Saccharomyces cerevisiae S288C: one gene and its partner. Each later gene encodes a partner of the first gene's protein in a complex. Each region holds a gene or a part of one and is shown in the gene's direction. Other genes may lie near its edges. The genes, in order: SPT6 and SPN1.

Region 1 (3,600 bases):
TTTCGTTTTTGAGCACAATCTTCCTCATTGTGGCTCTTAGGAAGGCGAAAAGAGGGGGCGTTGTGTCCCAAGACCAACTAATGAAAGAGAAACTGAAGCATTCAAGGAAATATATGTAAACGGCAAACTCCTCTGCCCATACTATCGAACTCTATCCAAGAAGCGCGTAATTTCACGAGCACTGCCTAAACGGTTTTCCACATTAGTTTTGCAACTACAATGATTCGGATATGGCACATTTACATAATTTAAACTTGTACATAACTAACACCTTTTTATCCATATACCTTATGTGCCGCTCAAGATATGAACATTGCGCGTTGCCCGGACAATATCGATAAATAATAGCCAAAACAAACATGTTTTATCGACGCATGAATCCTTTGGCGTTAAACTTGTCCAATTGCACTGAAACTTGGAGCGTATAAGCTCAGCAATTGCACCAAAACAATATCAGAAAAGGCTTGTATTGCCACTTTCACCTATGAGCGAAGATAAAGCTAAATTAGGGACCACAAGGTCTGCCACGGAATATCGTTTATCCATTGGTAGCGCTCCGACTTCAAGAAGGTCGTCTATGGGTGAATCCTCATCCCTGATGAAATTTGCTGATCAAGAGGGATTAACGAGTTCCGTTGGCGAATATAACGAGAATACCATACAACAGCTTCTGTTGCCTAAAATAAGAGAACTGAGCGATTCAATCATTACTTTAGATTCCAATTTCACGCGCTTAAATTTTATCCACGAGAGTTTAGCTGATCTTAATGAATCCCTAGGTTCGTTGTTGTACGGTATTATGAGCAATTCATGGTGCGTAGAATTCTCACAGGCGCCTCATGATATTCAAGACGATTTGATCGCTATTAAACAATTGAAATCGTTGGAAGATGAGAAAAATAACTTAGTAATGGAACTCTCCAATATGGAACGCGGGATTAAAAGAAAAAAAGACGAACAAGGTGAAAATGATTTGGCCAAGGCATCTCAGAACAAACAGTTTAACCAGCCGCTATTTCCCTCCTCACAAGTAAGAAAATACAGGTCATATGACAACAGAGACAAGAGGAAGCCCTCCAAGATAGGCAACAACTTACAAGTAGAGAATGAGGAGGACTATGAAGACGATACTAGTAGTGAAGCTTCTTTTGTTCTAAATCCAACAAATATCGGTATGTCCAAATCATCTCAAGGTCACGTGACTAAAACCACGCGTTTGAATAATAATACCAACAGTAAACTGAGAAGAAAGTCCATCTTACATACAATCAGAAATAGCATTGCTTCCGGCGCTGATTTACCCATCGAAAACGACAATGTTGTTAATTTGGGAGATCTGCATCCAAATAATCGAATATCACTCGGAAGTGGTGCTGCAAGAGTGGTCAATGGGCCCGTTACGAAGAACAGAAATTCAATGTTCTCAGGACGTGCTGAAAGGAAACCCACAGAAAGCAGACATTCTGTTGCAAAGAAAACTGAAAAAAAAATAAATACAAGGCCCCCCTTCAGATGACTACGCCCAACCCAACCAAAGAATTATCCTCCTCACAAAATATATCGCTAGCATGCGTGAGTTATGGATAAGAAGAATATTTGATGAGCTGACTGATTCTTTATAGCAATAGGGAGGAAGGCAGTACACATATCAGCAGTGCATGGGCACAACCCGCATTACAACGAAACATGATATATCTATATAAAAGAAGATACGGACAGGCGGTCGAGGCTATTACTGTGCCACTATGCGAGTCATGAATGATTTTTAAATTAGTTAGTACCCCTTTATATAACGTCTTCAATAAAAGTGCGGGAAAATTCGGGTAATATTTTCTATAACTGTCATTTTTTTTTCGTTATGTATGGCAAACCAAATTGACAAGAAACTGGACAACGGTTAAAGCAAAAGGAGGAAGAAAGATATTGATTTGTGCTTTGAAGAATAACCCAAGCGAACAGGTCATTAATTGCCTAGAATCTTTACATAGAATTTGCCTTTTATGGAAGAGACGGGAGATTCGAAGCTGGTCCCTAGGGACGAGGAAGAAATAGTAAATGACAACGATGAAACTAAAGCGCCTAGTGAGGAAGAAGAAGGAGAAGATGTCTTTGACTCCTCTGAGGAAGACGAAGATATTGATGAAGACGAAGATGAGGCAAGAAAAGTGCAAGAAGGCTTCATTGTCAACGATGATGATGAAAATGAAGACCCAGGAACAAGTATTTCCAAAAAAAGAAGAAAACATAAAAGAAGAGAAAGAGAAGAAGATGATCGACTATCCGAAGATGATTTGGATTTGTTAATGGAGAATGCTGGTGTTGAACGTACCAAAGCGAGCTCCTCTTCAGGAAAATTTAAAAGATTAAAGAGAGTAGGAGATGAAGGAAACGCTGCAGAATCAGAAAGTGACAACGTCGCTGCATCAAGGCAAGATTCTACGTCTAAATTGGAAGATTTCTTTTCTGAAGATGAAGAAGAAGAAGAATCTGGTTTACGCAACGGTAGGAACAATGAATATGGGCGTGATGAAGAAGACCATGAAAATAGGAACAGAACAGCTGACAAAGGTGGAATCTTGGACGAATTGGATGATTTCATTGAAGATGATGAATTTTCTGATGAGGACGACGAAACCAGACAAAGGAGGATCCAAGAAAAGAAGCTTTTAAGAGAACAATCCATCAAACAACCTACACAGATTACTGGTCTATCGTCGGATAAGATTGACGAGATGTATGACATTTTTGGTGATGGTCATGACTACGATTGGGCTTTAGAAATTGAAAATGAAGAACTAGAAAATGGTAACGACAACAATGAAGCTGAAGAAGAAGAGATCGATGAAGAAACTGGTGCTATAAAAAGCACCAAGAAAAAGATATCTCTACAAGACATTTATGATTTAGAGGATTTGAAAAAAAACTTGATGACTGAAGGAGACATGAAAATTAGAAAGACAGATATTCCAGAAAGATATCAAGAATTAAGAGCAGGTATTACTGACTACGGAAATATGTCATCGGAGGATCAAGAATTAGAAAGAAACTGGATAGCAGAAAAAATTTCTGTGGATAAGAACTTCGATGCCAATTATGATCTCACTGAATTTAAAGAAGCAATTGGGAACGCAATCAAATTTATCACCAAAGAAAACTTGGAAGTCCCTTTTATATATGCTTACCGTCGTAACTATATTTCCTCAAGAGAAAAAGATGGGTTTCTTTTGACTGAAGATGACCTTTGGGATATAGTTAGCCTTGACATCGAATTTCACAGTCTTGTGAACAAAAAGGATTATGTCCAGAGATTTTATGCAGAATTACATATCGATGATCCTATTGTCACTGAATACTTCAAAAATCAGAATACTGCATCTATTGCGGAACTGAATTCTCTACAGGATATTTATGACTACCTAGAATTCAAATATGCCAACGAAATCAATGAAATGTTTATAAACCACACTGGAAAGACTGGTAAGAAACATTTGAAAAATTCCAGTTATGAAAAATTTAAAGCTAGTCCTCTTTATCAAGCGGTTAGTGATATTGGTATATCAGCTGAGGATGTTGGTGAAAATATCAGTTCCCAGCATCAAA
Region 2 (3,884 bases), on another chromosome or scaffold:
GTGAGATTCTTTCAAGTATCAGGCAAACTACGATTTCACCTAATGAATATCACAAGACGTTTTGAATAATTTTCTGAAGCAATTATGAAACATTATGAAGATATATACGAATATGGATAAGCCTTGTACCTGTGATTTTACACTCAAATTGGACATAAGTAGTACATGAAGAGGATGATTAATTCATCCTTTAACGCGCTTGTTCGAAAATCCTTTGAAACCATGTAATAATATATCCAGATTTTCGGCTGACTTCTCATCAATGTTCATCATCGTCGTTTCGTCGTCTTCTAGACCATTTAACCAAAATTTCATACTCATTGGTAGAGAAGAATATGTGTGGTACAGCGACGGTTCAAAGTGAATTATATTTGGTCCGTATTGGCCGTCTTTCATCCCGACTGATGGTGTAGAATGTTCATCGACCAAAACATCATAATTCCTTCGGCACTGTTCTTCCTCTAACCTGAAAAACTCTTCACTAGATATGTCCACGCCTTCACCTTCTGTAGTGCTAACGTAACGTACCGGCCTCTCAGCAAACAAAAGGTTGCTGTCCCGTTGGAGTTGAAGGAAAGGAGAATCATGCACTTCTACTTTCCCATTCCATCTATCTAGCAGACTTGAATATTTCTGTTCCAGGTTATCATTTTTCTCTTCGTTCGTTTGGACACTAGTCATCGTGGTTAGAGTGGGTTCCTCACCCTTCGTATTCATTATGAGAGCTTTTAAATTAAATAAAACCGTAGCCAGCTTACGAATATCAGATGAAGCCAGTACCAAGTCTAATTTCGGTCTTGTTCTCTGAAATGTGCCATTATTTACTGCGAAAGTCGGCCTTGCATACTTAATATTGGAGAATGTACTCAATTCTGCAGTTATTCGGTTATTCCAATATAGTTCCTTCGGTGGGTATACTGTTTGATAGAATAATTTTAACTCCACAAGTATGCAGTTTTTTCGAAGAAAGTTAACTTCAGGTAAACCCATATGTGCACTGATTTTCTCTTTTCCTTGGTTATGCGTAATAAAGGATTATTTTGTATCGCAACCTTCAATTAAGGTTATCACATTTTAATAATAAAAGCTGGTAAAAAAAGCCGAAAAATCTGCCTGGACAAACATACAGAATACGCATATATACAAGCGAAGAAAGGAGATTTAGGCTCATTAGAGCAGTATCAATTTTTTAAAAAATATTTACACGTCTTTCTCTAAACTATATAAGGTGGGGGGCGCAAATTGACCATTATTTAATCAAAAGCAAATACAAAAAGAGAAACATATTTTAGTGTCATTCATAGATGCAATCTTTTTTCTTCAGTGGGGAATTATTTCCATTGCTTTTTCACCAAATGCCAGATCATTGGGGAAACCCAAAGAAACGCAGCCACATAAGCGGCCTGTTTCAAGGTTTTCTCAGTTTGTTCTTGATGAGCTCTTTTCTCCTCTTCGGAGACTTCCTGTTGAGGTAGACCAAACATTTTATACTATCTAGTTATTTGATGCCAATGGACGCCTTTTGTGGGAAACTGCAATTCGCTAATATTGGTGTAACGCCTCTAGAAAGAAAGAGTAAACTTTCGAATTCATTTCTTGATTTTATGATGTGCGGTATTCTTCCAAAGAAGGGTAACAAGAAGGTTTTTTTCTCTCACAATTTCTTTGAAGGGAAGTTTTGGAAGAGTTAACTGTCAGCTTCATTGCCCAGCATCTTTGTTTGATAGCACTTGTAAAGTATATGCAGGCCATATCAAGGGAGTTTATTGTCCTCTGAAGTATATATAGAGGAACTTTTAGTAATAAAAGGCAAAAACATATCAATTAGCAATGAGTACAGCCGATCAAGAACAACCCAAAGTGGTGGAAGCGACACCAGAAGATGGGACAGCTTCCTCCCAAAAGTCAACTATAAACGCTGAGAATGAAAATACAAAACAAAATCAAAGTATGGAACCCCAAGAAACTTCAAAAGGTACCTCCAATGATACTAAAGACCCAGATAACGGAGAAAAGAACGAGGAAGCCGCAATAGACGAAAATAGTAACGTAGAAGCTGCAGAAAGGAAACGTAAGCACATTAGCACAGATTTCTCAGATGACGACCTAGAAAAGGAGGAGCATAATGATCAGAGTCTTCAACCAACGGTGGAAAATAGGGCTAGTAAAGATAGAGATTCAAGTGCTACTCCAAGTAGTAGACAGGAATTGGAAGAAAAACTGGACCGTATATTGAAAAAACCAAAGGTTAGAAGAACGAGGAGGGATGAAGACGATTTAGAACAGTACTTGGATGAAAAAATTCTAAGGCTTAAAGACGAAATGAATATTGCAGCACAGTTGGACATCGATACTTTAAATAAGAGAATAGAAACTGGAGATACTTCGCTGATTGCCATGCAGAAGGTCAAATTGTTGCCGAAGGTGGTAAGCGTACTGTCAAAGGCAAACTTGGCAGACACCATTTTGGATAATAACTTACTTCAAAGTGTCAGAATATGGTTGGAACCCTTACCTGATGGGTCTCTGCCATCTTTTGAGATTCAAAAGTCACTCTTTGCAGCTTTAAACGATCTACCAGTGAAAACTGAACACCTGAAGGAGAGTGGTTTGGGGAGAGTAGTTATCTTTTATACAAAGTCCAAGCGTGTCGAAGCTCAACTAGCTAGGTTGGCTGAAAAATTAATTGCGGAGTGGACAAGACCTATTATTGGTGCTTCAGATAACTACAGAGATAAGAGAATAATGCAATTAGAGTTTGATTCTGAAAAATTGAGAAAGAAATCCGTTATGGATTCTGCCAAAAATAGGAAAAAGAAATCTAAGTCTGGTGAAGATCCTACCTCTCGTGGTTCTTCGGTACAAACCTTGTACGAACAAGCTGCTGCAAGGAGAAACAGGGCTGCCGCACCAGCACAAACCACTACTGATTACAAGTATGCTCCTGTGAGTAACCTTAGCGCAGTACCTACAAACGCAAGAGCAGTTGGTGTTGGTTCCACTTTAAACAATAGTGAGATGTACAAGAGGTTGACTTCAAGATTAAACAAGAAGCATAAATAATAACAAAACAGGTAATTCCGTAATGCTTTGAGATATGTATCATATGTATGTGTTTTTTGTTTAAGAAATTCGAAATAACACTAGGTGGTTTTATTAAGAGGATTATTAAATAAGCTTGATGTTTGATGATTTTGAAGAATTATTTAATCTCTTAAACATATACATACACAGTAGAATTTTTCGAATTATGAAATCGTAATATAACTCTGCTTAAGATCTTGGCTTTTCCTTCTTTTCCTTCCACAAAGCCAACAAGGAGACACCAGAGACCTTAACGACCTTGAATCTAACACCTGGAATATCACCCTTAGCCTTACCCTTTCTACCGAAACCGGCTAGCAAGACTTCGTCATTTTCATCGACAAAGTTCAAACAACCATCGTTTGGAACGAAAGCAGTAACCTTCTTACCGTTCTTGATTAATTGAACTCTAACACACTTTCTGATAGCAGAGTTAGGTTGCTTGGATTCGATACCCAACTTTTCCAAGACAATACCCTTGGCGTGAGAAGAACCACCGAATGGAGAAGACTTGAAGGCAGTACCCAATAATCTCTTCTTATAGTTGTTTTCGGCCCAACGGCTGTTTTAAACGATTAACTTTTGACAAAACATAGTTTCATCAAAAAGATTAATAAATTTGTTAGTAAATGAGGTTCTCGTAGTGAATTCATTATCTGAGATGGCAGAAATTCATTGTAGATTTTCAGTTTCATCACTTGTGGACTTTCTTATTCAAAATTCGCAAAATGGCCTTTCTCCTCCTAAAAGCTGATGAATTCAAATGGCTATAATAAATTAAGTAGCCCTACCCTAGTTTC

The links.
Region 2: the proteins of SPT6 (region 1) and SPN1 are in contact, whole or in part, in a crystal structure (PDB 3OAK), measured with the Saccharomyces cerevisiae proteins. Residues at the interface, in NP_011631.1 of Saccharomyces cerevisiae: Lys241 (codon at 2,721), Glu244 (codon at 2,730), Met245 (codon at 2,733), Asp247 (codon at 2,739), Ile248 (codon at 2,742), Phe249 (codon at 2,745), Gly250 (codon at 2,748), Gly252 (codon at 2,754), Asp254 (codon at 2,760), Tyr255 (codon at 2,763), Trp257 (codon at 2,769), Ala258 (codon at 2,772), Leu259 (codon at 2,775), Ile261 (codon at 2,781), Glu262 (codon at 2,784), Asn263 (codon at 2,787); in NP_015458.1 of Saccharomyces cerevisiae: Arg222 (codon at 2,494), Glu226 (codon at 2,506), Pro227 (codon at 2,509), Leu228 (codon at 2,512), Pro229 (codon at 2,515), Asp230 (codon at 2,518), Gly231 (codon at 2,521), Thr253 (codon at 2,587), Leu256 (codon at 2,596), Lys257 (codon at 2,599), Gly262 (codon at 2,614), Arg263 (codon at 2,617), Val264 (codon at 2,620), Ile266 (codon at 2,626), Phe267 (codon at 2,629), Lys270 (codon at 2,638), Ser271 (codon at 2,641), Lys272 (codon at 2,644), Arg273 (codon at 2,647), Ile286 (codon at 2,686), Trp289 (codon at 2,695), Thr290 (codon at 2,698), Arg291 (codon at 2,701), Pro292 (codon at 2,704).

The regions. Positions count from the first base shown.
Region 1 is NC_001139.9:718,409-722,008, forward strand, and holds the start of SPT6 (chromatin-remodeling histone chaperone SPT6), read left to right. Parts: upstream 1-2,000; coding exon 2,001-3,600. Other genes in the region: cytochrome oxidase assembly protein SHY1, read left to right, coding at 1-119; DAM1 (Dam1p), read left to right, coding at 485-1,516. UniProt on the Saccharomyces cerevisiae protein: Histone H3-H4 chaperone that plays a role in maintenance of chromatin structure during RNA polymerase II transcription elongation thereby repressing transcription initiation from cryptic promoters.
Region 2 is NC_001148.4:795,157-799,040, reverse strand, and holds SPN1 (transcription factor SPN1), read left to right. Parts: upstream 1-1,830; coding exon 1,831-3,063; downstream 3,064-3,884. Other genes in the region: MSS18 (Mss18p), read right to left, coding at 184-990; TOM5 (Tom5p), read right to left, coding at 1,332-1,484; 40S ribosomal protein uS12 RPS23B, read right to left, coding at 3,274-3,646. UniProt on the Saccharomyces cerevisiae protein: Transcription factor involved in RNA polymerase II transcription regulation. May function in both SPT15/TBP post-recruitment and recruitment steps of transcription.